Rhinolophus ferrumequinum: one gene and its partners. The protein of the gene in region 2 purifies or fractionates together with the protein of the main gene of each other region. This does not show direct contact. Links are inferred from orthologs where the notes say so. Each region holds a gene or a part of one and is shown on either strand. Other genes may lie near its edges. The genes, in order: GRB2, OTUD5, PPP2CA and MAPK1.

What was found.
Region 1: the proteins of OTUD5 (region 2) and GRB2 purify together in Homo sapiens (affinity purification with mass spectrometry; 3 studies listed by BioGRID and IntAct, with this or other methods). This does not show direct contact. The link is inferred for Rhinolophus ferrumequinum from reciprocal best matches to the Homo sapiens genes OTUD5 and GRB2.
Region 3: the proteins of OTUD5 (region 2) and PPP2CA purify together in Homo sapiens (affinity purification with mass spectrometry, with the first as the bait; 3 studies listed by BioGRID). This does not show direct contact. The link is inferred for Rhinolophus ferrumequinum from reciprocal best matches to the Homo sapiens genes OTUD5 and PPP2CA.
Region 4: the proteins of OTUD5 (region 2) and MAPK1 purify together in Homo sapiens (affinity purification with mass spectrometry; 3 studies listed by BioGRID, with this or other methods). This does not show direct contact. The link is inferred for Rhinolophus ferrumequinum from reciprocal best matches to the Homo sapiens genes OTUD5 and MAPK1.

Annotation. Positions count from the first base shown.
Region 1 is NC_046304.1:50,382,529-50,389,371, forward strand, and holds the start of GRB2 (growth factor receptor-bound protein 2), read right to left. Parts: upstream 3,017-6,843; 5' UTR 2,811-3,016; intron 1-2,810. UniProt on the Homo sapiens protein: Non-enzymatic adapter protein that plays a pivotal role in precisely regulated signaling cascades from cell surface receptors to cellular responses, including signaling transduction and gene expression.
Region 2 is NC_046284.1:85,709,516-85,717,525, reverse strand, and holds the start of OTUD5 (OTU domain-containing protein 5), read right to left. Parts: upstream 3,010-8,010; 5' UTR 2,478-3,009; exon of another isoform or gene 2,399-2,477; intron 2,297-2,398; 5' UTR 2,023-2,296; coding exon 1,429-2,022; intron 1-1,428. Other genes in the region: KCND1 (potassium voltage-gated channel subfamily D member 1), read right to left, coding at 7,264-7,495. UniProt on the Homo sapiens protein: Deubiquitinating enzyme that functions as a negative regulator of the innate immune system. Has peptidase activity towards 'Lys-48'- and 'Lys-63'-linked polyubiquitin chains. Can also cleave 'Lys-11'-linked ubiquitin chains (in vitro).
Region 3 is NC_046307.1:10,228,770-10,236,077, forward strand, and holds the start of PPP2CA (serine/threonine-protein phosphatase 2A catalytic subunit alpha isoform), read right to left. Parts: upstream 3,020-7,308; 5' UTR 2,560-3,019; coding exon 2,458-2,559; intron 1-2,457. UniProt on the Homo sapiens protein: Catalytic subunit of protein phosphatase 2A (PP2A), a serine/threonine phosphatase involved in the regulation of a wide variety of enzymes, signal transduction pathways, and cellular events.
Region 4 is NC_046308.1:22,851,370-22,858,475, forward strand, and holds the start of MAPK1 (mitogen-activated protein kinase 1), read left to right. Parts: upstream 1-4,095; 5' UTR 4,096-4,330; coding exon 4,331-4,449; intron 4,450-7,106. UniProt on the Homo sapiens protein: Serine/threonine kinase which acts as an essential component of the MAP kinase signal transduction pathway. MAPK1/ERK2 and MAPK3/ERK1 are the 2 MAPKs which play an important role in the MAPK/ERK cascade.

The DNA of each region.
Region 1 (6,843 bases), on a different chromosome or scaffold from region 2:
AATTGGGAGAAGAGTCTTGAGAGTGATAAGATAAAGCTCTCTCTGCTCAGCTCTGTGAAACCATTTCGACATGTGATGTATGTCCCTTAAAGCAGTTGTAGACCTCACCTCAAGGACTTGCTGCTTCGGCTATTTGAAGACAACATAATTGGTTTGGGTTGTTTCTATAACGTGATAAGTGAGTCCCACAGACCGTGCCAAAAACACTGCTACTCCCTTGTATACTTATCAATAAAAACCTCCAGTCGGCTTTGTTCTGGGCTCCAGTCTTTCAGAACTGTGAGACCCCTGGCCTTCTGAGATTTAACTGCATTAAGTCTCTGTATGTTTCTTTCTTAAAACTTAACCCAAAGCTGCCCCTTCTCGTACCCTCACTGCCCGTGTTGTGCTGGACGCGACAAGACAGATTACCAGTCCTATTAAGTATAAACTTTAAATTGGTCCACCTCACAATTCTAACAATGCTCAAATATTTACACATATAAAAACTAATCGCGTCTATAGTCACTTATTTCTATTAGGTTTTTAAATATTTCCTTTGTATATACAGAAAGTATAATTTTAAGTTGAGGAATTTAAAGCCACACTCCAGTCTCATGATTTTATGGTTGTGTTCTGTAACAATACTTTTGGTCCTTGGACCAACTGCATCAAAATCCCCCCTTTTAGAGACTGATTCACTGTGGGGTGCCTTCTGGAATTCTGCAGTGTAGTGGTCTTAGGCCCAGAAGCTAATTTTAAATAAGATTCACAGGTAACTCTTGAGCATGCTACATTTTAAGAATCACTGGTGTACTATAAGGTGCCTTCACCAGATTTTAAGCTTTGCATTCCAGATAATGCACAATGTCTTTGCATAAAACGAAAAAAATGCATATTCACATACTCACTTGGCACAACTGGGAAAAAGCCAATTTTCACAAAGAAAGCCAAAGACTCTCAATGGTCATGCAGTAGTGCCAGAAAGTTCTGAATTAAGCAAGTAACTATTAATTTCTCTCGAGAGCATGTCAGTCTCTATTCTGTATTACTTCATTTCTACAAAGTCTATTACTCTTCTGCTCTACGTAACAATTAGAACTGCTGCACACATGCAACATAATAGGAATTACTAAGAAAAATCTCTAAGTACCATCAACTAGCAGTATTTAAAAACCCAATAATCCCTCAAATCTGAATACACCTGCTGAGGAAATGAACCGCCTCAAGCATTTAAATGATTGCTTTTCATATCAAAGAAAGCCGATTACAAGAATTAACTTTGTTTTTTATTTGGGGATTCAGAAAATTTTGAACAAGGGAAGGGGCAGCAGAACAAATAAATCTATGGTTGGTTTTCGTTTTTTAACCTAACCACCCCCCCACTAAAAGCCAAGTCATACAAACCCCAAATTGACCCACTCTTACTAATATAAAAGAGACAGAGAAAGAAAAGTGTGAGCAGGCACAAAAGCAGGATCTTAAAATGAAGAAAACAACTAAAACACAAATGAGACAGGCAAGCTACACTTGTGACCTAGTGGCAGTATTGATTACTCACGGATGAATTCAATCCTTTGAGCCTCCCAGTTCCCAGGGGGAGAATTTAAGTCTCGCATGGCTCTCTAGCAATCCTTCTGGCAGACTGAAAGAACACAGTGGACGCGTAAAAGGAAAGGTTAACGCAAGAAAGAGGGTGTCTTCCAAGAGACAGAAAACAGAATCTTTAAATGAAGGAGAAAACGAACTGCTCCAAAGAGCAGAAACCTCGAAAAATTATGCCAGCGAGGGGAAAATAATGAGGAAGGGAAAGTAGATTAGAAAAAAGGTGGGGGAGGGGGCAAGTGACTTGCATTACACAAGGCAAGCACTTAGCGTCCGCAGTGGAATGAAGAGAAGTACATAGAAAAGGAAGGCAACAACTGGAGAAGTACAAAGTCAAAGAGGCACGAGAAAGCCTGAGACGAATGCTACGTAATTTCTCTCGTGGGTCTTCTCGATCCTTTTCTGAGACTCACCACTACCAACAGACCTCGAGTGCATTTCAGGTCCTCTGCAATTTGTACTTTTACAGCATCTGAAGCCAGCCTAGAATAGCTCCCTAAACAAGCTATAACTCACAGGGATCACAATCACATACGATAAGCGTTGCAAATGAAAAACAGTGCTTCTCTCGCCTCTCGCCCTGAAATCTTTCCTCGAAGCATTCCAACCAACTGCTGATTTTTCTTGACGAATATTTTTCAGAGAATCGTTCAAAAAGGGGGAGGGGAGCCGAAGTAACGGCATCCTGACTGGCTCCGGCAGCAAACGTTCTAAGTCATGGTCTTAATCGGGTTGGTGGGTTCCCTCCCAAAACTCGGCCCAAAGACACCAGGAGATGGTGACGTGGTGCCCGTGCAGGTCGAAGGAGCATCAATCACCACATTTGCAGCCCGCAGCGAATCCCCCGCCTCCGGGCCAAGTCAGACTGACTCACAGAATGAGCACTCGCTGCTGTCGGACTTCTCCCAGATCCCTTCTGCGCAAACCCTCAAGAAGATGGCATGAAATTTAATGAGGAGCCCCTGGCCTCTTGCTCCGGGGTCAGTGGGTCGGTCCCGAGCCCAGGGCTGGGGGAGGATGGTCCCCAGGAAGGAAGCGCCCCAAAAGAGGAAACGTGGAGCTCGGAGCCCCGGGAATTCCGCTCCCGCCCCAGGCCTCGCCGCCCCGACCCCCAGGCCCGGCAGCTCTCGGGAGGCTGGGCCGGGTCCCTGCGGGCCGACTCCCGCTGCGGAGCGGGGAAGAAAAAGCACCGGAGCAGCAGCGCCGCCGCCGCCGGCCGTACTCACCGTGGCGTAGCTGCTCCGCTCCGCGCCCGGCCGGCCCCTCCGCAGCGGTGCGAGCGGCCGCCAATTCTGCTGCTGCTCCCCGAGGGCAGCGCCTGTTCCCGCTGCTGTCACCACCACAGTCTTCGTCGCCGCCGCCGCCCGGTCTCTGAAGCAGCACAGCCTCCTCGCTTCCGTTCCTCTTCGGGGTCCCGCGAGAACTTCCCCGCGCGGCCCCGCCCCGCCCCCGCGAGACTTCCCCCAGCGGAAAAGGCCCAGAGCGCAAGCGCTCCTCTGCTAGGCCCTCGCAGGTAGACCTAGACGCCAGGGCGCAGGCGCCAGGCCGCCCCGCAGCAGGTGGCACCCGCACGGCTCCGCCCCCGAGTCGCTGTAACCCGCTCGATGCCGGAGCCGGTAAATTACAGCTCAACCCTGAAGGAATCACTCGTATGCACACCCTAATCACTTCCCTTCCCCTTTCACCAAATCAAAGCAACTGGGGGAGCGGGGCAGAATCTCCTCCTTGCATGAAGCACCCCAAATAGGTCTTGAAATACTTGAGAATCTGGTCCAAACAAACTCAGCAACGTTAAATGAATTAATAGAGTCGTTCATTGATTGAATTAAGGACCTAATATGTGCTAAGCACTGTGTTAGGTATACAAGGTACAAGGAAGAACAGAAATCCTGGCCCTCAAGGAATTCACGGTCTAGAGGGGTGGAAGAAAAGTAAACAAATAATGCCACAAGTATTGTTAAAATTATTTGGGGAATGCTAGGGAAGCTAAAAGAATAGGGGGAGGGGTCGCCCCTGGGTCCATCTCAGAAAAGCCTTCCCAGAGAAGATGCTGTGATGTCTGAGCTGAGCCTTGGAGGATGAGTAGGAGTTCGCCAGACAGAGAAGAAGGGGTGAGGGCGTTCCAGGGGAAGGGAACGGCACACAAGTACAAAGGAACGGAGGCGTGAGAGAGTCGTGTTCTGAGCAACGCTAAGTAGTTTGATTCCCGAACCAGGCGGGGTGAGTACGGGGGAGTGGCAGATAAGGCTTGAAGAAGTAACTCATTTTTCAGTTCCAAAAGCTCTTTCCGATTAAAGGAGAGGACAGAACGCATCTAATGGTAATGTGCTCTCTGGAAGCCAAATAGCATTGAAGTGAGAATAAACAAACATTTGCTTCTATAGAAAAAAACAAGCCCATCGAAATAAGGAAAATGAATTTTCTTTCACCAAGTATTTATTGAGCATCAACGACACGCAAGGAGCGATGCAGGGTAACCTGGCAAAGCCACTGCTTCCAGCAGTTTGTAATCTAGAGGAGAGTTGCCTAGACTGCAAGGCAAAGCAGCTGGCCCTGAGTGCCACTGAAATACTTAAGGGCTGAAGAGGAGGGAGCCAGTTACTTGGTACTCAGGTAATCAGGGAGGACTTGGTGTTTGATCTGCAACATGGAAGCAAGGAGGAAAGAGTGGCTGAATCAGCCAACATTTCAGATTGACTCGAGTTTAGGATTTAGGGGGAGGAGTAATGAGAGACAAGGCCAAAATGTATCGCTTAGGTTTTGTTGGCAAGTGATATGCGACTTCAGAAGGTCTTTAAGCAGAAGATGTCTGATATGATGTGAAAATAACAAGAGGACCGTTTATTTACCACCTGATGTGTACTAAAGTAACTGTGTTTCTACAGGGTGGATAATATCCCCATTTTACAGAGTCAGAAACTGAGGTTTAGAGAGGTTAGTAACTTACTCAGGGAAACCCAAATATAATAGACCCAAGATTTGAACCTAGGCCTTTCTTGTTCTAAAAACCATATTTTTCCTACTATCGTACTTCGTTTTAGAATGATGGCCAGAAAAAAAATAGAAATGAAAGGGAAAGACTTAGCTGCTGAGCTGAGAGGAGGAGGAAGTGAGGGAAGAGTTGCAGTTCTTTCTTTTGAGTGGGGAGAATAACAGAGAAATTTGCCAGTCAAATGGGTAGCTGATAGGGTAAGGGTGTGAGAGGGGATTAAGAGGAGGTCTGCAGGGAAGGGGCAGGTGAGGAGACGCTGATGCTCCTGTTTTGGAAATGCAGAGTTAATCGTTCCAGGAGAACATGAAGGTAGAAATATCCAGCATGCTGTCGAAAAGCTCACTGCTTCCATTTGTTCCTGCCACAGCATTAAGTGAGCATCTACTCTGTAGAGAGCGGGATAACCCACCACAGAGCTCGCAGCCTAAAGAGTAAGACATATTTCTAAGAATATGGCACCTGTAGTACTGGCAGCTTTGGAAACATACAGCAGGGGACCTGACCTAGACCAGGATCAGAGAATGCTGAGGAGGGAGGTTTAGGCTGAGACCCTGGTTAGCCTAAGAGTTAAAAAACAGTGTTTCAGGAGAGATATTTATCATCGGCAAGGTAATGTTTCATGTCCTTTGCATGACCCTTTAGGATCTGGCCTCTGCCTGTCACCCCCACCTCTCAGGCTCCAGCCAACACATACTCCACCAATACTAAACTACTGTGGTTTCCGGAAGGGGCCATGGTCTTTTGAGTGTCCATATCTTAGCACATGCAGTTTCCTCTGCTTAGTTGGCCTTCTTCCCTTTCTTTAGGCCCCCAACTCAGTTTTAAGGTTCCTTGCCCCAAATTCCCACTGTACCTTCACTCCCCACTCCCATCCCACCCCAAGCTCTACAAGCTCCCAGACAAAACGGACCACACCTTTTCACATTTGCATTTCCAGCCCCCAGCACAGTGCAGTGCAGGGAGTGAATACATGGATGGGTGGATGAGCAAATAAATAACGGGTTGTGGAAAGATAAAGACGAGCTGCCTTTCTGTTCAATGTGATATTTGAAGCTAAGGAAGTGGGTGAGATCTCAGAAGAGACTAAATGCCTAAGAGAACAGAAAAAAAATTATGCACTTCCTTTTAAAATGCAACATTGATAAAAACAGACTCTGAGCATGTCTGTGTAGAGATATATGCATATGGACCAGATTTGGAAGGGAACATTTAAAAGTAAAAATACTACCAAGTTTCCCCGAAAATAAGACCTAACCGGAAAATAAGTCCTAGCATGATTTTTCAGGAGGACATCCCCTGAACATAAGCCCTAATGCGTCTTTTGGAGCAAACCTTAATATAAGACCCGGTCTTATTTCCAGGAAACACGGTAATTGTGTTGAAGCAATTGTGGGTGACTTAAAAAACCTCTTCAACATTTGTTATGTTGTCTTTTCGATTAAAAAATTATTTTCTGCAGGCACAGACTCAGAAACCTGAGAGAACCCTTCCCAAGATCATTTCCATGCAGAGAAAATAAACACAATAGAGGCAGTAATATTTTGAATGTGTGTATGGCTAATATCTAATACGAAAAGAAATTAGAGTTAAGAGGCAAGTTGTGAAGTAAAAGTCACCTTGGTAATGAAAACCTGTTGTAACTGTAGCAAAACTTGCTAGTGACAAACTGGCCACATCAATCACTTCGGAATGCACAAATTAATCATCAAAAAGTCTCTCTTTTCGATTGGGGTTTGCGTTGCAAAGGGTTTCTCCCTTTGATTTCTGTGAGTTGTGGTGCTGCCGCCTGCCGGTAGAACTGGACATTGCCCTGGAACTTACTGAACCTTGAAAGCTCATAGGAAACTGGCCTAACAGTTGCCCTGACCCTGCCTTGGGAGCGGCCTCAAGACCATCTCGGGCACATCCTTTTAGCCCACATTTCTGAACTTCTAGTTAGTGAGAAAAAAACCAGCCATCCAGTGATAACCTAAACTTGGTCATTTGAAATCCTACTCCCACCTGCTCCATTGATCCTGGAAGTTTTCCTCTTAGAATCTTCCTTGCTCAAGCTGTGAGCCAAGACTGCATACACCTCTCAGGCTTCGAGGGTGACTTCTGAGGCTGCGCCTATTAATGGGACACCAATTCCTGTGACTTCCCTTCCTCTACCTCCTGACTCCATTTTTATCACCTGACCAGGTGCACGCCACCATCCTTCCTGGAGGGCTGCTCTTGCTTGCCCACTGATCAGCCTGCCCACTTTCAGGTCATTATAAACACTGCAG
Region 2 (8,010 bases):
TCACTGGGGTACGTATGGCTCTCTTGTCCTTGAGGGAAAGCTCCAGTGTCCTTGGCACAGTGGGTCTCCGGCCCTTGCAGACAGGCTTAGATCCGTGGGGAGCCCTCAGATTCCACCTCTGGGACTCCATGCTGCCGATGTCCCTGAAGAATGGTCTCAGGGTCAAGTTCCCAAGGCAGAAATCTTACGTCCCTGACGAGCTCAGGCACTTGTCAGGGGGAGGGAGGGGACAGTGCTCAGATCTATTTCAAGGGGAGAGGGGGCTATTAAGTCCCCAAGATGTGTTTCAGTCCTTCATAATTGGGGCAGAAGGACCTCATGTGTGTGTGTGTGTGGAGGTGTCTCAGACCCCCCCCCCCAAGGAGAACACTCAGACACCAGTCCTCGAAGAAAAAAATCTCCTAAAGACTTCACCTGGCCTGAAACCTCTGTGGGGGTATCAGACCCAGTCTCTGGCAGCCCCAGTCCTTAAGCAGGGGAATCTTAGGGTTCCACCATCCAAAACAGTGAGCCTCATTTTCTTGAAGAAAGGCTCAGGCCTGGTGGTGGTGGTGGTGTTGGGTGGGATGAGGGAGAGGGGCCAAAGGTCTATCACTTAAAAGAAGATTAAGCTCTGGGAGATTCAGACTCTTGTCACCAAGGAGTTCTCAAGATTACTGAGAGGAAGCATAGACCCTCGTCACTTACAGAATGAGTCTCATATACCCTAGTAGAGTCTCTGGTCCCTGGATATCTTGGTCCTTGCCTTCAGGGGAAGAGAATCTTACCTCCTCAAGATAAGTCTTACATCCCTGGAGAAAAGCTCAGAAGATCTCTCTCTACAGGGGATGTGTATGTGTGTGTCAGGCCCTTGATTTTAGAAAAGTGTCAGACCCCACTGCTGAATGGTCCTGTGCTGTGTCCCCGAGGAGGTGGAAGGGTTGTCCTCTGCAGAGTATCTCAGACCCCTGAAAGGGTTTGGTATCTTGGGAACACTAAGATATCTGAGGTCTCCATCTTACTTGTGTTCCCTGGAGGGGGACTCTTAGATTCTTATGTCAGAAGAAAAGAAATCTCAAGCCACTGAACACAGACTCTCTCTTGGAGAGTCATGAGACTCCCTTCTCAGGAGGCATGCCATTCTGCCTCTGTCTCCTGGGGGGTTCCCACCTACTGGACCTACAAGATGAGGTCTCAGGACCTGGAAAAGACCGCAGACCCCATCTTCAAGTCCTTCGTCTTATCTGGGGCCTCTAACCTCAAGTCCTCGGGGAAAAGGAGTGGAGAAAGAGGGTGTCTCACACCCCTACCAGCAGAAAAAAGTGTGTCAAGATTCGGGAGAAGGCATTTAGGTCCCTTGGGGAGATCTTAAACAGCCTTTCTTGGATCGCTACCCAGTCTGGGGATCCCACCCACCATAACGGCTCACCTGTCGCCCCCAGCTCATACCTGCTCGACAGTGGCAGGGTCCATCGCCTCGATGCGTGCTGCTGCCGCTTCATACTCGTCCTCACTGTTGTAACCTGCGCCGACCTCCTCGCGCTCAGGACTGCCACCGCCAACCGCGCCAACCCCGGGGGCTTGACGCCGCCGCTTGCTGTGGCCGGGTCCGGAGCAGCAGCTGCCCACGCCCACCGCGCCGCCCACGGCAACCACCACGCCCGCCGCACCCACACCTGCAGCCGATGCACCCAGCGCGTCACCCGGACCGCCGCCGGGACCGCCGGGGCCCCCACAAGGAGGAGGAGAGGCCTGCTGTGGCCGGGGGCCCGCCACGGCGCCGGGCGGCACAGCCAATGCCCAGCGGTGAAGTGCACCCGGTGGCCCCGGTAGTGGGCCCTGAGGCGGCGGTGAGGCCCGCGGACGGGCCCCCACGACGCCCGAGTCACGGTCACGATCGCCGCCGCCCACGCCCGTGCCGCCGCCGCCCACGCCCACACCCCCGCCACGGCGCGGTGCCGGGGGCAGAGGCCCGGGCGGCGACGGCTCGTTGGCGGGGTCGGCGTCGGGAGGCGGCGGTTTCTTTTTGGGGAGAATAGTCATGGCGGCACCGACAAGTACCCCTCAGCAAACGCGGCGCGCGGCACGCCGGGATAGAACCCGGATGAGGGGGCTACTGTGATGCGCGAAGCACGACGGGATCGCCGGGAGGACCCGGATAAAGAGATTGAAACACGGGTTCAAGAATCGTCGGCGGCGCGCAGGTCACGCGACAGGAGAACCCGGATGTGAAGTCCAAGGTGAAGGCAGCGCGGTGAGTTCGTCGTCGCCTTCTCTCCGAATTCGGCAAGTTGATTGCTACGCTCGTTCCGGCCTTCTGCTTCAAAGGAAACAGAACCAAAACAAGCACCTCTTCGCCCCGCCCCCTCGCAGGTTCTTGAACTACCGGGTGGGGCCCTGGGGCACCGCGCACGCGCACCAGAGCACAGCCCTGCCTCTCGCTCGGAAGTACGTGGGCAAAAATCTTCACCGCCGCCACAACAATTACAGGCACCAACCAATCGAAGCGGCTGCGTGGGTCCTCGCTGACGTCCACGGGCCAATCAGAAGAGAGTAATCGCCCTCCTGCGCCCTCCTCCGTCTCGGATTTCAGTCAAAGTCAGCACCCTGGGTCCTGGCCTTCTCCTCGGCGTCGTTCTGCTCTTGACTTCTGTCCCCGAGGCTCTGACTCGCAGGCGGAGGTACTGTGACAGGACAGCGTGGCCTGCCTTGTGCAGGACAGTTTTAAAAGCACCTCCCTCCCAGGCTCCCAACTTGGCCGCTGTCAGTGGGACTGACAGGAAAATAACACTCCCAGAGCCTAGAAATCCTCTGAAGCGTCAGTTCCGGTCCCACCCACCTGCAAATCCACATCAGTGGAGGGGCGGGCTCCACTTCACCCTGGCAACAGGCGGAGTGCTGCGGTGATTGGTTAAGAGATGCCCTCACTCGCGTCGGTCGGACGAACCTTGGGACAGACGAGCACCGTGGGGACAGTGGGTGTTTGGGAAGCAGACACGCCCTCTTTGGCAGCGCGGCACTCTCGCCCTCCCGTTGACCTCCCCGCCCTGTGGCTAGTGCGCAGGCGTGGCACAGCCTTTTCCTCCCTTCAAAATAACTGTTTACCTGGATTCAGCGAAAACTTTATAAACCTGGGCGGCCGGATAGCCCACTTGGTTAGAGCGCCAGCTCTGAACAACAGGGTTGCGGGTTTGATTCCCACATGGGCCAGTGAGCTACACCCTCCACACCTAGATTGAAGACAACGAGCTGCCGCTGAGCTGCGGGAGGGGTGGCAGGATGGCTCAGTTGGGTAGAGCGTGAGCTCTCAACAACAGGGTTGCTGGTTCAATTCCCGCGTGGGATGGTGGGCTGAGTCCCTTGCAACTGAAAAGATTGAAAAAAACGGCGACTGGACTTGGAGCTGAGCTGCACCTGCCATAACTAAGATTGAAGGACAACAACTTGGAGCTCAGGGGCCCTGGAGAAACACACTGCTCCCCAATATTCCCCAATAAAAAATATTTAAAAAAAAAAACACTTTATGAACCAGCTTTGTCAGCAGCCAGCATCTCACAATGGTAAAATCCCTGCCACTCAGCAGCTGGAGAGATCTACTAGCTAATCCTAGCTCTGCCTCTCCTTGTCTGCATGATCTCTGGCAAGTTATTTAACATCCACCTCATCCTCAATTTCTACTTCTCTGTAAATTGGCCACGATTACTCCATTGTAAGGATTAGAGATTCATGCTTGTAAAGGGCCTGGTGCTGTTCCTGGCACATAGTAAGTGCCCAGTAAATTAGTTGGCATGGTGGTGCAACGGAAAGGATCCCAGGCTTTGGAGTCAGGAAGACCTCAGTTCCATGCACAGATGGACCGTTACCAACTGTAGGACCTTGAGCATAACACTGTCTCAAAGTTGAGGTTACCCATGTGTAAAACGAGAATAATGCCTGCCCATGCTACCTCAGGGAGTAGTTATGAGGTTCTGAAGAGCTAATAAACCAAGGTGTTGTGAGAGGTGAGGGTTCCCTACGTCTTAGGAGCCAAGACATTACAACCAGTGGACTGAAAGAGAGCCCATCAGAAAGCTCTTCTGAGTGCCACCTAACCTCCCTTCAGATGCCAACCCTAGTTGAAGTCTTCCCTGAAGGGTGTCAGTAATAAATTAACTATCGTGTTTTCTGTTTATGAGACCTACGTAATGGGAGACGACTCACATTAACTGTGCCTGTTTTGTTCAGGGCATTGTGCCCAATGCCTATGCATGTTATCACATTGGATCTTTTCATGACCATTTCACTCAACCCACATACCCCACTCCCTACTGGATATTTCTCCAGCACCACACATCTAAAACTGAACTTATGGGTGGCTGGTTAGCTCAGTTGGTTAGAGCGTGCTGCTGGTAGCACCAAAGTTGCCGGTTCGATCTCTGCTTGGGCCACTGTGAACTGCGCCCTCCTTAAAAAAAAAAAAAAGAAAAAAAAAGAAAAACTGAACTTATGATAATAATTGTAACTCATCATCACTAAGTACTTGCTGTGTGCCTGGCACTGTGATGTTCCCTTTGACAGTGAATGGCATCCCCACTGAGCTTTTGCCCAAATCAGAAACCTAGGAGTTAGCCTTGACTGCTCCCTCTTCTTCAACTCCAAGATGCTTGTCAGTCCCAAGCCCTGCCGATTCTACCTCTCAAATCTCGAGTCTCCAACTCTTACTGCCACTACCTGGTCCAAGCCACCATCACCTACCAACTAGACCACTGCAAAAGCCTCCTCACTGCGCTTCCTCCCTCCAGGACTATTTCTCTAGAATCCACTCTCCACAGCCAGAATGATCCTTTTGAAACACAAACCTGATGATGACTTTCCTGTTTATAAGCCTTAGGAGGTCCCATTATCCTTAGGATGCAATCCAAAATCTGTATCCTACCTTCAAAGGCCTTTTGTGATCTGGCTTACCTCTGCATCCTTACCCTAACCACAGCCTCACACTCTCCTCTGCAGCTCTGCTCAACTAATTTCAATTCCCCAAAGGCCCCAAGTTCACTCTAACCTCCGGATCATTTGTACATGCTGTTGCCTCTGCCTGAAACGTTTTCATCCTTTCGTCTTTTGCCTGGCCAACTCCAGCTCATTCTTTGTGTGACATTCTCCTGCTTCTGGGATGCATAAACATCATAAATTTGTTACCAGTACGGAAAATTTCTTGTGCCTTGTATCTGTGCCTTGTGTTTTGTAATTATTTGTTACATAAAATTTCTTGTACCACAATATGTTAAAAAATAAATGCTAGGGGGTGGCCGGTTATCTCAGTTGGTTAGAGCCTGGTGCTGATAACACCAAGGTTGCCGGTTTGATCCCAGCATGGGCCACTGTAAGCTGTGCCCATCTTAAGAAAAAACAAAACTAAAATTCCTTTATAATACAAAAAAACAAGTACCTAAATGTAAACAAATAAAAATTTGAATTAAAAAAATAAAACAAAAGATTTTCCCCCCTGAAAGTTTGGGCCAAAAACGTGGGTGCACATTATACATGGAGTGCATTATACATGGCAAAATATGGTAATTCTCTTTCCCAGGGATTGGAACCCAGGTCGACCTGAATCCAAGGTCTGTCTTCGTGGTGCTCCACACAGCTCATTCCCACACTAGCCTCGTGTACTCAGTATCCCAGAAGACGACATATAGGGGACATCCACAAGGAAGGGTAATTTGCCACATTGAGAGATGCTTTTCATTGGGGTTCAATTCAGAATAGTTTGCTGTCAAGAAGCCTGTGTTTAAGTCTCCCCTAGCCAAGCATGTGCTGCTCTGGGTCTCAGTTTCCCCATTTATGAGTGAGGGGGTGGGAACAGATGATGTCTAAGGGGACATATCTCAGGACCTTCTAACCTGCCTCACTGGCTGGAGATTCAACTCTTCAACCCCTCGCCCCTTTTTCATTTCTCCTAGATCCCCATCTTCCAGAACATGTCACCAGCCACCCATCTCCCATACCTTTACCCACACCAGCCCTTCTAATAGTTGAAATCAGCCCAACCCAGCCCCCAAACACACAGAGCCAGGAGGTGCTCATCCCCAGCTCTCCTCTCAGATTTTATTGACTGATGGAAACTACATCTCTGTCAGCCACCAGCTCCTCAGGGACAGTGTTGAGGACAGAGAACCTGAGATGATGCCAGATATCAGCCTGAGAGCACACACAGAGTTCCGGAAGGTGACCCAAGGGGGAGAAGAGAGAGGGATATGTGAAAAGGCATTGTGGGGGAGGAGGAAGAGGACGAGGAGGAGGAGGAGAAAGAGGAGGAGGAGATCAAGAAGCTCCCCCTGCCTCCTACAACTCCCAGAGTTCAAGAACAACCCAGGCTTCAGCGTTCTGGACTCCTGCCCAAGAACAAGGAATCAGCCCATGAGCTCCAAAGCCAGCCCAGCCCTTGCTGGCTGCCAGGTGCTTATCTCACCCAGTCCAGACTCCAGCCCAACCCAGGAAGGAAGCAAACCAGAGGAGCAGAGACAAGGAGGAGTATTAGAGGTGGCCCCTCTGATTAGGGCAGATGTATATACTGCAGCAAACTGGGCAGAGGCTTTGCATAATGTCATGGCAGCAGCTGCTATTGCTAGAGTTTGCTGGGGGCCCAGCGGAGGACAGGGTTGTGGGGACCCATTTCCAGCAGCCAGGGAAGGGTGTAGTGTTTGTGCTATCTTTGTGTGTGTTAGGAGAGGCAGCCTGACCCTGAGCCAAGGCCTGGGGGTGGCAGGTCACTGCTGAGGCCACAGCCCATGAAGCCTGTGGTTGCATTCCAAGCTTCAGAATCTGGGAGTTGTTGGGCGTGGTGAAGGGTGGGGACCTCTCCTAGGGACCAGATCAGAGGTGATGTTTCTCTTCTCTGAACCCCCAAATCGCCACAGCCCAGCCAGAGAGAAGAGGAAGTCTCACCTCTTCGTCTCAGGCCAGAGCTCAGATATCAGGTGGGAGCCTGAGGGCCCGAGGGGAGGAGCATGCAGAAGGCCCCCTGGGAGAGAGGGCCTGGTCCTAGTGTGTTGGGGCAAGGAGGCCAGCAGCCTGAGGAAGCCCAGTGATTCAGCTCCCACCAGGAAAACTGTCTGAGGTGGGGAAGTGCCCCATTCCCTGGCTACGTCCCCACAAGGTGGGTGATTCCATGAAACTCCATTGCATAGTTCTCAGTGGGGGGCAGAAGGGGTCCCCAGGCCTGTTGCTGCCTGCCTCCCCAAAATATGGCTTTGGAAAGGAGCCCTCAAGAATCAAGAGGGCCCTCTGGATGGGCAGGTCCACCCCTCACAGGGAAGAGATCTTGACAGTCTCAGGGAGGAAGCAAGAGGTACCCAGACTGGAGTTCCTGAGGGTGCTGCTGGCCCTGCCACCACCACTGCCACCAGGGGAGGAAGGTCGGCTCTCATCTGGGGTGTTGGCAGGAGGGGTGGGTATACTGATGATGGCAGCCACGAAGTCCCGGCTGTCGCAGTTCAGGTCAAGGCTGCCATGGGGCTTGGCATTGAGGCTTGAACGGCTGTGGATGGAAAGATGGAAGGTTCTTAGAAAGTCATCTTAATACTTGCCACAGCAATCATGACATCTATTAAGTGCTTACTGGGTCGCTGGCACTGTGCTAAATGCTTCCCCTGCACCCTCAATTATGGTGGTACAGGGTAAGGGCTCTGGAGTCAGAGAGTCCTAGGTTCAAATCCTGGTCCCACTCTTACCACTCTAAATCTCTCTTTTCTCTCATCTGTAGCATGGGGATAACAATACGGTAGGTCCTCACTTAACAGGGTCAATATGTTCTGTGATTTTTAACTGAAACGACATTTAAGAAAACCAGTTGTAGCAGAGGCTAACTGATATAAACAAGGGTTATGTTCCTAGGCATTTTATCATCAACATGATAAAAAAATGACGTTATTTAAGGACCTGCTACATTTCCTATGTCATAGGGTGCTTGTGGAGATTAAATGAGATAACAGATGATACAAAGTGCTCAGAATAGTGCCTGGACCGTAACAAGCGCACACACCAAAAAAATGT
Region 3 (7,308 bases), on a different chromosome or scaffold from region 2:
TTAAAATCTTCCTTCTTTCTCATAATCAAAGAAATTATCAATTATTACCAAATAGCTATTTCCAACCAGTACCTTTTCTTTTAAAAAAGAACTATTGTACTAATGAAAAAAAAATTTCCCATCGAGATTTTCAAAATATGTAGCTTTCACCAGATGTGTTACTGACCATACAAATATTAACAGTGAAAAGAGAACTTTTGTTTTACTAGAAAGACTTGTAGAAAAGATAATTTCAAGTCATGTATGCTAACTCATCCCACATACCTAAAAAACTGCCTTCAAATTAATTTAGTTTGGGAGATTAATACCAAAAGTTGAAATATTCATGAGTTAAAAAAAGTATGAAGGCTGTGTGATATCCCCCCCAAAAGGATCCATTTCTTGGAAACCTAACTTCCAATCTTACTTCCATCTTTTTGGCTCTAAAAACTGAAATCCAGACACGCTGGATTAACAATGGAGATCCAAGAATAAATTGATTAATCTCACTACATCTTAATTTTTCAAAGACGTGGAAAACAATGAACATTTTTACCAGATGCACCAAGCTTCAGCCAATCCAAATTACCATGCAATATTATCTTCTATAGTCTCCAATACAAACCCTCTACACTACTGTGGTCCATCTACTGGTCTCCAACTAGATTCAGGCTCCTTGAGAAAATTATTCTGTGCTGCTTTCCATTCCCCTCATAAGAGTAAGCAACCTTGGATTTCAATACAAACACAAAGTACAAATTTAAAATGGAATTGTATAATTTCAGATTAGAAGAGACCCTGGAACAGATTTCTGTTTTAACTCTATTATTATAGACAAGAAAATGTGGACCAAGTGAAGTGGTTGCTCCAAGGTCAATTACTGTGGCAGAATTCTAGTGTACAGGTGGAACTTGCAGTCAGTCTTCCAATTACATCATTACTTCTCTTCCAATATTTTCTACACAAATGACTAGTCACCTACCCAACGAATGACTCAAAGTCTTCATGTAAAGCACCTAAGACCTAATAATATACACTGAATAATTTTTTAAAGCCTATTTCTGAACCTTTAAAATAAACACTATCCTCATTTGACACAGTAGAATTAAGGGTCAAGAAGCACAAGACTCAACATATTGCTACCATTACAACGAAGCTTTAATAGATAATGTGCCACCTCATCAACTAGGCGAGTTTTGTTCAGGCTTGGGATAAATAAATGTGAGTTTGAGTCACATTGCAATCTACAGTATAGTTTCCGAAAAAGCCTGTTTTAGGAGCATATACACCAAACCCATGAACCTAATTTTCACATCTAACCACAAACGAGTCAGCATAGTTGCTAATAACTCTCTTTACTAATACAAAATTCTAATACGATATCCCACAATCCTGTACTAAAAATTAAATGCTTCCAAGTTAATTTTGAAAACGGAAATTAAAATGGACTTATTAAATGGACTACAAGATTCCATTTTCAACACGGGAGATAAATTATTTAAACACTAAGCACAAAGTCTCGGATACAGGAAAGGCTCAATAGACAGCTATTATTATTAATACTATTACTACTTAAAGCCACAAAAATACAAACGAGTAACTTTTCCAAGGAAGAGCCAGGATACAAAATTTGCTGGTTTTGTTGCATTTAAAAAATAAATGGCAAAATGCCAAGCTTAGAGAAGGGTTTCACACTACCCAACTTGAGTCAGCATATAAATCAGAGACTAAACTGACACTTGATTTCCAATCCCCAAACTCCTTAGGCAGTATGTATGACTCACCAAATTCTCCATTTCTTCCAACTATGAAAAATAAGTTCTACTCCTCCCTATATTTTACCATGACCTTCGTAGACATTAGGTTAGAGGTTTATTTTTAAATTCTTAAGAAACACGCTTTAAAAAAAGTCTCTGGAAAAGACTGCTCAGTGTGTTTAGCCCCAACCACCCAGGATAGTACTAATGCTGTATGACCTTTAGACAGGTCCTGGGATCTGGCCTACAAGCTTGCTTGCCTTTTGGGGGATCCTCTAGATAGTTTTGGAGCTGAAAATTCGTCCCGAACACAAGTAAAAGGCCTCTTAGCCACCTCACAGTAGAGTCTCAAGCCCCATTCCCAGGCCGTAGAACCCAAGTCCTCTTACTCGGCTCTCAAAACCGTCCCCAACCCTGACACACAGGGTCTCAGTTCCCACAGCACCCCGCCCGACACCTAGGCCGGGAGGCTCCGAAGCCCCGGAGTTGGGTGAACGGCGCCATTTTAGGCGGCAGTGGCGGCGACATCCAATCCCTGCGCGGGAGGCAGGGGGCGCCGGGTCGCCCGGGAATCGCCGCGGGGCCGCACCAAGCCGGACGCAGGTCTGGGAGGCTCAGGGGGCCCGGGCCGGCGGCCTCCGCCATGTTGCACCCTTCCCACGGCCGCCTCTTTCCTGGCGGGCTCAACCGCGGCCGCTCCCGCAGCCGAAGTGCAGCTCACCTTCTCGCAGAGGCTCTTGACCTGGGACTCGGAGAGCTGCTTGCACTCGTTCAGCTGCTCGATCCACTGGTCCAGCTCCTTGGTGAACACCTTCTCGTCCATGATGCCACCCGCCCGAACCGGCTGCCGCTCCGCGCTACTCCCGCGCCGCCGCCCGCACACGGGCCACACGCACACGCCGCCGCCGGTTCCCGGGGTACTTGTGTGGCTACTGGAGGTTGCTCGGCGTTAGCGCTAGCTTGTTTGCTCGCCCCGCAGTGCTCAGCCACCGGCCGCTACCCTCCTCCGCTCGCTCTAGCACCGGAGCTCAGCTCTCTGTAATGGCGGCCGCCGGCGTGGTGACGTCACGCCCGGCGTCAGGAGGCGGCGGGGTGCGGAGGGGTAGCAGAGAGACCGAACGAGCTGCGCAACTGCAGAGCCAACGCTAGTCGGCCGCCAGACCGGAGTCGGGGCGGGACCAGGGCCCAAGACGCAGGCGCAATGGAGCCGGCTAGTAACAGGCACCTTCGCTTTTAGGGCGTGGTCCTCCAGAAGGGTGAGGTCCGGGGGAAGGGAGACCGAGTCCCAGCAAGCGCGGGGCTCGCAGCCTGGAACTGGGCTAATCCCAGAGCACGGTGTCCTACGCGGTGTGGGCGCGAACCTGGCGCAGGCGCAGTCCTGGCGCAGGCGCAGTCCAGACGGGAGCAGAACTCCCAGCTGCCAGAGACTTTTTCCCAAAGGTGCTGCCTTGCGGCTCTTCACCCGGCGACGGCGACCAGTTCACGGAAATGAGAATTGCGACCCCACAATTCCTCCATGGTGCAACAGCGCTGAAATTGCATAGGATTCTGGCATCTGTGACGGCGGGAAAGGGCGCCGAGTGGTAGCCCAGTTGGATGCCACCTCCGTCTCTGGGTGGCACCTTGTAATTAGGTCACTAGTAGGCGGAGGAGGGTGTACCTCCCGGGGGGAGTGCCACACGTGCATCTGACTCCCGCGGCACACACCCGTCTCGGGCCTAGGTGTCTCGTCGGGCGCGATGGCAGGGCCGAGGCTTGGGCTTCTCTCTCGACCTTGGACCTCACCTACTTTCCACACGCCCTTTGCAGCCTCGCCCGTTGTCGCCTTCCGCCACAGGTGTGCGCCCCTCCTCAGAGTCCGGTTTCTCCTGGGAATGAGAGACACTCTCCCCGTCTCTAGACACACACACACACACACACACACACACACACACACACAACACAACTGCACGCCCTAGTCTGCTTTCTAGAGGAAGGCGATAAGGAGATATCTGGACGCATAGGTCCTGACGGCAAGTGGTGGTGTTAGAAACAGCTACGATCTGTGCTTTAAAGTATTCTTGGATACTTTGCGGTCCGACTTTGGTCTGGCTATGGATCTCCTTGAGGTTTGCCATATGTTTTCACATTCCATTGTTCCTGCACTCACAGAAATACCAGGGGTGCTTAAAAAGTGTATTCATGACTTGTATTTATCTTTTGTTATTGGTATATATTATTTATAATTTTAATAGTTTTTTTCTTTCTTAAAATGTGTATACTTTTTTTTGGCACCCTCTATATTTGGCTCCGTAAAGGGCTAGCTATATGCTAGATCCCACGCCTAAGAGAGGAGTCCATGCCCTGGTGGAACTTGTATTCTCCCAACAATACTCTTAAAATGGTCTGCAGATAGATAGAAGAGAGATTACGGTGTCCACAGGATCTGAGCGAAGCTTAGCAAAGGACATTTAACCTTACAGCCCAAGGCAAGCGTTGACCCTGGTGTCCTGTCTTCCAGACTTCCTATCCCCAATAGCAGTGGACCCTGTTCCACCCAAGTGCTCAATGATGTCCTGGAGGAGGGAGCTCACTGCAGCTCTGAAGGAGAAGGCCCTAGAAGCCCAGACCAACCAATGGAGGGACTGAAAATTTTCCGTCAGCAAAGACGACCTGCCTGGCCAGGCTGACTGGCTTAGCCTTCCCAGGCTGCAAATTGCAATTCTGCTTTCCTTTTGTACCTCCCAGGAGTATGTATGCCCAAGAAAGTACCTTAGATCTACTCTCCAAAGGCTTATAATATAGTTAATTTACTAGACTGGGAAGTGTTCTGTTCGCTGAAAATCTGGCCACGTTTTGTAGTTAGTGTCCCTAAATAATAGAGGAGTAAGAGTTAATACCATGTAGAATGAATGAGGAAAAAAGTCATCACTCGGTGCCCACGATTATAAAGCCAGGTCCAGTGGGCTATCTTATTCTTCAGGTTGTCCTGTACCTTTGTGAGAACTGGTTCTGTCTCATAGGGCAAGAAGCAGACAGGCACTCAGAAAAGAGAAAGGACTTGCCCAAAGTAGTCATCAGGATTTAAATCTTCATATTCTCAAGTGCAAGATCTCAGCCTCGCTCACACAAGGATTGAAATATGGAATAGGGTCAATATGATTTCCTTTACCTGAGTTCTTTTATCTACAAAGGTGGAGGTGATGTGACTTTGGTATATTAAAAACTATTGAGCACCTTCTATGTACTAAGATTGTAATGAGTGGGTTTTTCCAAGGTGCTGTGAGCTCCTTGCTGCTCGCATTAATGTAGGTATTATTTATTTTCTCTTGATGCCGATTACTTGGTTTACTACCATCACAAAATGGAGAGAAGACATAATTATATATACTTAAAACATCCTGCCAAATAATCAGATGCCATGACTTCTTAAGCAATGAATTCTAGGAAGCCTTACTAGCATTCAAGCAGTGAAGTAAAGCATACATGATTATAAACAACATAGAACTAAATCAGAATGTCTTTTCCTTTAGAAGAAATCTAGAATGTTTTCTGATTCTGTGGAACTCAAAACAGCTAATGGATCTGAAAATTCAGTGTGATTAGTCTGGTCTTGACTAATTGGACCTGACCGTCTCAATTCTAGAGCTGAGGAATACTTGGAACAAAAAGTTAAACCAAAAAAAATTTTCCTTTTAATTTCTTGGCAAAAACCAGAGAGTGAATGAAGCAACTATGCTTTGAGAAAGAGTCTTTGCTCAGATGGCAAGTTCAGTATACAGCGAGTCGCCTATGATGTTCAAACATAGCTCTAAATAAAAATCATCTGATGGGGTGGGGTGGGAAGAAGATAAACTTGAGCAAATAACTTTATAATAGGCGCTCTAAGCCAACAGATTAAAATTAACATTAAACATGATGAAGGAATGCGATGTATCTTATCAGCCATTCTCTCTCGGTCTTCTGTTAGGTTTGTTTTGTTCCTTCCAGTTCCCTGAATTCTAAACTTACTGAGACAGAAGGGAGAACTGTGTAGGTAAGAAGCCGCTCTGGAATCAGATCGACCTGGTTTGAATTCTGGTTCTGCAACTGCCTCAGTGTGTGAAGTTTGGCAAGTTACCTAACTTTTCTGAGTCTCAGTTTTCTCATCTATAAAGTGGGGATAATTGTAACAGCCAAATAATAGGATTCTTCTGAGAATTCAATGAAGTTATAAATGTAAAACACCATATGGTATATAATAAATGTCCAGTAGGTATTAGGTAATATTCTTTTTATTTCTAAGTGGTCTCTGATTCTAAATATCCTAATGCCAGTTAGAGCCCCTTGATGCCTGCCATGAAATACGTAGTGGTTTTTGGAAACAGAAAGTAACGGTATCAAAAACATCATATAGACACAAAGCCATTGGGTGAAGTAGAAATGAGGGAGGAAATTCAAACAAAGAGAAGTAGAGGTAGATAAAAAAGAAAACCCCTCTCTTCCCTTGCCATCAAGCAAACATTTAGAAGGCTTATTATGTAGAGAGAAAATCACTGAGGAATAAATGCAAGAATTAATACAGCTCGTCGGTTTTATGCTCCTGTCAGCTCAGAATCTGTATCTGAAAGGGTGCCATATCTGCTAACATGCTCTTCGCATCTAGGCCTTCTATGCCTCAGACGTCCCAAAATAAAGACCTGAGCAATCAACATTTTAGTGGCTTGGCCCATGAGAAACCTGCCCTAATCTGGCCAACTAGACCTGCTTAACTACCAGAAGATTTCTGCACTCAGGATACACGATGGTGTTTGCAACTCATTGATATCTATCCCTGTTGCTCTCTGTTGGGATTTTCAGAAAAATTCAACTTTTTTGTCCTTTCACCTGGAATTAGAACTTTATAAGTGTGGCCAAAATTTTGTGGCCAGGAACTTGCCATAGACATACTACAGCCCTTTCCCCTAGCGACTGCAGTTTAAAGAAAAAGAGAAATGACCACGTCCCCTGCTAATGTCCTTGACATCCAGATACCATTCTCAGTTACAGAGGAAATATTTTTCTCTACTACAGGAAAAAAAACACAAAACTCTCTGGAATGGAAGGCAAAGTTCATCATTCCAGAAGGCTAGGTAAACCTTAAAAATACTGTCACCAACTTTGCACCTATCCAAAATCTTACCATAGAAGTATATTTAGTGACAATATTATTCACAGTATATTATTAAGTGAAAAAAAGTCCCTTGTCAAACAGCATGTGTGCTATAATCCTAATTTTATTAAATATGTATTATAAATATATGTTTATGAGAGGTATTAAACGTCAGTTGCTTCTGGCGAGTGGGATTGGTTTTTTATTTTCTTTTTAGTTACTTGATTCATCTGTAATGAAAACATACTGCTTTTATAATCGTGAAAAGAAAATCTTCAGAATGTCTGAGTAAACGTGACCAAGTACCTCTTAAGGGAATCACAGGCCCAAAGCACACGCAGCCAACAGTTCTGTTCAGTGTTCCACTACTCTCTGGAATATTACGCAAGGGCCCCACTTTCTTGTGAAAAGAAGTTTCACCTCTCCTGTGGCCTTCTCACATGGCCTCCTCACAAAGCATTT
Region 4 (7,106 bases), on a different chromosome or scaffold from region 2:
AAAGGGAGCACCCCCTTCCCAATTGTTTCTTTATTTTTATTTATTTATTTTTTTATTGGGGAAGGGGAACAGGACTTTATTGGGGAACAGTGTGTACTTCCAGGCCTGTTTTCCAAGTCAAGTTGTTGTCCTTTCAATCTTAGTTGTGGAGGGTGCCATTCCGCTTCAAGTTGTTGTCCTTTCAGTCTTAGTTGTGGAGGGCGCAGCTCAGCTCCAGGTCCAGTTGCCGTTGCTAGTTGCAGGGGGCACAGCCCACCATCCCTTGCGGGAGTCGAACCGGCAACCTTGTGGTTGAGAGGACGCACTCCAACCAACTGAGCCATCCGGGAGCTCAGCGGCAGCTCAGCTCAAGGTGCCGTGTTCAATCTTAGTTGCAGGGAACGGAGCCCACCATCCCTTGCGGGACTTGAGGAATTGAACTGGCAACCTTGTGGTTGAGAGCCCACTGGCCCATGTGGGAATCGAACCGGCAGCCTTCGGAGTTAGGAGCATGGAGCTCTAACTGCCTGAGCCACCGGGCCGTCCCCCCAATTGTTTCTTAAAAAGACTGAGTGTCATTGTCCTGGATCAGGTCACACATGCATCCTTTGAACTAATATCTGTGACTCTGATTGGGGAGCCCTGGGTCACATGCTTGCTCACAAGAGTGCAGAAGAGACAGAAGACAGTTCACCAACAGAAAATTTGGTTGTGCTACCAGAAGGAGGAGTTGATGCTGGACAGGCAAAAGTAAGAGATGGCCATTGTTTTCTAAAATCTGTGAATTGTTACCACTCTAGAGAGACAATAAGGAAGACATTCAGGTGGCCAGCTAGCCATCTGACTAGGGTCTTATGCTTTGATAGTAGTTTAGTTTTATTTCAGTGAGTCTAGTTCTCAGCTTTGTGCTTCCAGAAGTTTGTTATTGTCACTGAGGCTAGATAACCTTTCCCTCTGGGCCTGTATCATGCTGATCTGACTCAGTAGAGACTGATGTATAAGTAAATCCCATCTTAGAATGAATAGTAATCTCCAGAGGACCTGAATAGTGCTGTCCTCTGGTCAGTGCACTTTCCCTGTCAGAAAACCACATGCAAAGCTAAACTCTAATTATAAGGTTGCATGGAGCCAGGCAAGAGAAGTTCTCCGGAGAAAATTAGTGATCAGGTGCATCATGCCATGATAGTGTGGTGGCTTTAAAAAGTCCACAAACGCTGGAAGGGTGGAGGGAGATTAGTATGGAACATGGAAGGCAGAGTAAAAGGAGTTGGGGTGGAGGGATGGTCGGCATAGACCTCAGTCTGAGTGCAGTGGGGAGCCACTGACTTGCTTTAAGAAGGGGAGTGACATGGTCAATTTTGTTATGGAAAGACTACCTGGGTATGAGGAGAAGCCATTGGAGATGGGCAACACTGAAGGCAGAAGAGTCAAGGTGAATGGCAGTGGGAATAAAGTGCATACATTTAAAACAGTGCTTTTCAAAGTTTAATATGCGTACGAACCACCTGGATCTTGTTAAAATGCAGATCCTGATCCAGTAGGTCTGAAGAGGGACCTGAGATGCTGCTGGTCTGGAGACCATGTTTTGAGTAGTGACTATTTCAGAAATATTAAAGAAATAGAATTTACAGGAGTCTGTGATTGTTTGGATGGGGGGAAGGGATGAGAGGGAGGTAAAATGAGTTGTTAAGGATCATACCCAAACTTCCAATTTGAGTATCTGGGTGAAGATGATGCTATCCACAGATACAAGATGAAGAACAGGTTTGGTGGGGTAGATAATAATAACATAACATGTATTGGATACTTACTATGTGCCAGGCTCTTTATGTATACTGTTTTATTTAGTCTGTACAACAAATTTATGAGGTTAATACTATTGTGATTTTCATTTGAAGAGTGAGGAAACTGAGGCCAAGGTCACACAGGTAGTATGTGGAGCAGCCAAGACTCAAACCCTCTGGAAGTGTGAGTGCAGAATGCGTGCAGTTAACCATTGGCAGTTTGGATATGCGGAATTGAAGCACCTGTGGGATGTCATGTGGTCTGTCCAGAGGGACATGCTGACCTGGAATTCAGGAGAGATATTCTGAGTAATGGTTAAAGATCTGGGAGGAATTAAAGCATTGGAGGGAATGAAACCATCCATGGAGGTTTCTAACCTACCCCCTCAGAGTGCTATTAATCTTATTCCATTTTCCTTTGGGCATTTAATTATTACAGAGGAGGAGTCTGAAGACAACTAGTTTTTAGCTTTTTTGTAAATAATCTTTTCCCCCCCTCTGATTGGATTCTCTTACTGCTTGTTCTTTACCCCTGAAATTTAAGAATTTTTCCAGATTTCCAGATTATGTCTTAAAGTTGGTTTCTGCTGATTAATTTTTCTGGATCCCAGTAAACTCACTCAATTTTTTACCTATACCTCAGATCTTTTTACACCTAAGGCAAGTTTTCTTTTATTATAACTTTAATTATTGATTTGTTATGTCTTCTTTTGGGGGATGCCTATAGTTTGAATCTCCATGATATTCTTGTATCCATTTTCTTCTCTCTTACAGAATTCCATCACTTTGAATATTTCTTGTGTTTATATTCAATATTGTTGATTTGTTCTTCTGTATTGTCAAATCTGCTCTTTACTGCTTTGACCAATGAATTTTACTTTGGTTATTGTGGTTTTAGTTTCATATTACTCTCCATTTATCTTGGCCTGTTTTTAAAAGATGCAATGTCCTCTTGAAACAGAGAATAAGAATTAGGTGTTTTCTAAAATTGAATTCTGCTTCATGAACTAAATATATTTCAAAGTACTAATTTTTGGCTCTAGCACTTTCTTTTCTCATGTGCCACATATGTTTTTTCCCACAGGGCTTTTCTAAAAAGTTGCTCATTCACCTTTGAGATAGATTAGTTGATCTTTGCTGATGTCTGGAAGTCCAGCATTGACGGCTTTCAAGACCACAGTGTTGGACAATCAGGATGCAAGGTCTTCCACCCTTACTCTGTTCAAAGATAGTATAGGAAATGGTTCAGAAGCAGTGGCTGGATCATTTTGTCTCGTCTTAGCGATTCTTGGCTTTCAACTGCTTCAGGATTCCAGTTTTTATTTTTCAACCTATGTTGTTTGTGACTATTTTTTAGCCTCAGTGTGTATGTCTCATTTTCCCTAGTTCTTGATGCTTGGGTTTAGCGTTTCCATCTTTGTATTTATCAGTATGTCCTCTAAGTTTCTGTCCCTCTGTACCAATCTAGGTCTCACTCTCTGAATCTCTGTGTCTTTCTCTAAGCGTCTCAACCTACTTCAGCAGGTCCTCAAATAACATGGATTGGCCACGGTAGGAACTTAACTCTTGTTTATATCAATTATCCTATAGTAAAATTTGTTTCCTTATAGCACCCTTTACTTAACATCTCAGACCTTTACCACACAACTTGAGTAATTAGTGTATATATATATATATATATATATATATATACATATATATGTAAATGTGTCCATCTTCTCCCTCTAGAATGTAACTTGTATGGGGGTGGATGCCCAGGAACTTGGTAGGTACCCAACGAACACTTGTTGAGCGATCCTCTCTGTCTGATTAGCGGATCCTGCCACCTTTGTGTTTCATACTTTCTCAGTATGCAAATGTCTTTCTCGGTCCCGGTCATGCCTTTTGGTTTCTGTCCTGGTCTCAAGGTCTCTAAGTTTGTGTGTGGGCCACAGACTAGCACAGGCCGGGCCCAGGCCTGCAGCCGGTGTGTGGCGGGTCGTTGTCCCTCACACGCTGCCCTGGGTCGCTCTTAGGCTTAATCCGGACCCCGGTCCGGGTTTTCCCCTGCCCGTCTCTTAGGATCACCCCTTTGGGTTCTCTCCCAACAACTCGGATACCTCCAGCCTCTCAAGAGCCACTTTCTGCGCAGAACTCCCTCCCCCCCGACCGCCACAATAGCACGTGACCACGTACGGCAGTACCGCGGGCGCCGCGGCTGGCTCAGCCGCGGAGCTCCGCCCTGAGCTCGCCGCTTCCTTCGGCCCGCGCAGCCACGCCCCTAGGCCGCGGAGAGCTAATCCTCGCGCACGCTGCTTGGCCCCGCCCGGCGCCCTCCTCGGCGCGCGCCCCTCCCTCCGCCCGCCGGCCCGCCCGTCAGTCAGTCAGGCAATCAGTCGTTCTGGGTTGCTGTGGGTTCTCCAGGTCTTCGGAGCGGTTCCCTCCTTGCTCCTTCCCGGTCAGCAGCAGCAGCTGCACCAGCTGCGGCGCGGTCCCTCCGGGAGGCGCGGCGTAGGTCGAGCGGCGGCTGCGGAGCGTCGAGCTCAGCCCAGCGCGGCGGAGGCGGCTGCGGCGGCCCGGCAGCCAACATGGCGGCGGCGGCGGCGGCGGGCGCGGGCCCGGAGATGGTCCGCGGGCAGGTGTTCGACGTGGGGCCGCGCTACACCAATCTCTCGTACATCGGCGAGGGCGCCTACGGCATGGTGTGGTGAGTGTCCGCGCCCGCCCGCAGGCCTGGCCGCGCCTGCCCACCCCATCTTTCGGGGCCGCAGGGGACGCAACCGCGGCCTCGTCCGCGCCTGGGCCTCCCGCGCCGCCGCGCCCCCAACCTTGGGCTTCGCTGCGGCCCGCGCCCCTGGGGCTTCGGGCGGGGCCCTGGGGCCGGTGGAGGTTTGGGTGTTGCTCGCGGCATTTCGCGGGCTGGCCCTCGCTCGCCGTCGGGAGGGGCGCGGGGGGCGGAGGCCAGGATCCCGGGTGTTGCGGGCTCCGGCGCAGCGCGGATTTTGAGTCAGGACCCCCAGGAAGGGAACAGAAGCGCCTCCCCCACATTCCCCCTAATGCCAGCATGGTGGTCTTCTTTTTGACATCCGATTGTAAAGCCGGGAATTCCTTTAGATGCTTGTGGGTCGGTGGTGGTGGCGGCCGGGATCGTGAAAGCGGTTCGCCTCGTCTTGTGTGTAGAACACCGAAATGGATCTATTTTCCTTCTCTCGCCTGTGTTTTCCTCGAACGGCTTTCATTAAATATTTTCAGTGGTACTAATGGTGCTCTAATGCGCAGGCTTTCTAAAAAGCATTAGTGGCACCAGTGTTGTGTAATATTTCAATCTTGAAGTTTTTAAATGGATTTTAATATCGTGCTGTTTGTGTTTCTGGAAGGATAAGCCAACAACGTTTTCCTGATTTATTAAAGAGTCGTTTGGAATTGGGCCTAATTTGACTCTCTTTCTTTACCCCGAGTGAGCTCTCTTACCAGCATAAATACATCCACACGTTAAAGAACAATTACTGTGGTCTTTTTCAGTTAATGTTTTAGTGGTTAGTATATATGCAGCCTTAATGGAGGTCTTGCAGTGTTACGTGCAGGGTTCCTCATCTTAATCTATATCCCTTGGAAACGGGGAACGCGGGTGACGATATTATTTTTATTAGAACCAACTAGCTAGTGTTTTATGCTGATGGAGACATGTGGGAGTGTAGATTCCCTTACACCTAAATCTTCTTGTGACTTGTCTTTTATGTTGAATGAAGGAAGCAAACACATTTATTGAACACTAAGTGGCAGGTACTTTGTTAGGTACATTATCTCATTTTATTTGAAGAGCCACCTTGAGGGAGGAAAAGGTGGTGATATCTGTCTTTCAGGTGAGAAAGTATTTCGAGGTGAAGCGAATTTCTAAGGTCATACAATTAAAGAGTCACACTTGAGAGTGTAGACTGAGATCCTAATTCAAATGCTGTAGCTCTTTCCATTACATCTTGCTATCCTTAAATAGTGTTACTACCATTTCCCTGAAAATAAGACCTAGCCGGACAGTCAGCTCTGTAAGTCCCGGTCTTATTTTACTGTAAGACCGGGTCTTATATTAATTTTTGCTCCAAAAGACACATTAGAGCTGATTGTCTGGCTAGGTCTTATTTTTGGAGAAACACGGTATTAGTTTTAGAATTTGAGCATATTTTGTTATGAGCAAATCTATTTCAGAAACACATTCAAATTTGAATTATCATAATTTTAGAAACATAGAGGGCATAGTTTACCAAATATGTTAGCTAGATAAAAAGACCAGTTAAAATTGTGTTTTTAAAGAAAGACTACTTGAATCTTGAGTATTCTCATTCTGTTCAGGAGCAAAATGCTGCACGGTATACAACTATGAAAATGAACGTGAACTCAGAGGCTTATGAGCCAATAGAGAAATTAAATTAGGTCAGGCCTAAAAGAAAGAAAAGCCTTAGGAAGTAACGGAGAAACAATACTGCCCACAACATCACTTCTCTGTCATACATCTGATTGCTGTTGCACCTGCTGGTTAAGTATGCCAGTAAACATGTCTCACTATAAGAGGCTCAGAATTGCCCATCACATCCTTCGGCCCTTTTTAAAAAATTAGCATCCAAAATATGGACTGAAGGGCTGGCCCGGTGGCTCAGGCGGTTGGAGCTGCATGCTCCTAACTCCAAAGGCTGCCGGTTCTATTCCCACATGGGCCAGTGGGCTCTTGACCACAAGGTTGCTGGTTCAACTCCTTGAGTCCCACAAAGGATGGTGGGCTCCGCCCCCTGCAACTAAGATTGAACACTGGCACCTTGAGCTGAGCTGCCTCACAGATGGCTCAGTTGGTTGGAGCACGGGCTCTCAACCACAAGGTTGCCAATCGACTCCCGCAAGGGATGGTGGGCTGAGCTGCGCCCTCCACAACTAAGACGGAAAGGACAACAACTTGAAGCTGAACGGCACCCTCCACAACTTGGGGAAAAAAAGTCCTGGAAGTACACACTGTTCCCCAATAGTCCTGTTCCCCTTCCCCAATAAAATCTTAAGAAATATGGACTGAAAAAATCTTAGGATATTTCATTGAAAGGATTTTTTCCCCTTTCTGATAGGATTTTTACTAGTCTGAAGATGATTTTAGGTGTGGTAACTTTTCTATCACTGCTGTAGACTTGTTTGACCTTCTAAATCTCTTATCAGGCCTAGTCCTCTTACTGTGATTTTCCTTTCCTGAATAAAATACAAATACAATTGGAATTAGAATTCTGGGTCCAGATTATAGCTTTTGATTTCATGTTGATGATATACGCTAGTAAGTAGTTAATCTACATTGCACATTATTAGCATTTAATAAATATTGATTAATAGTGC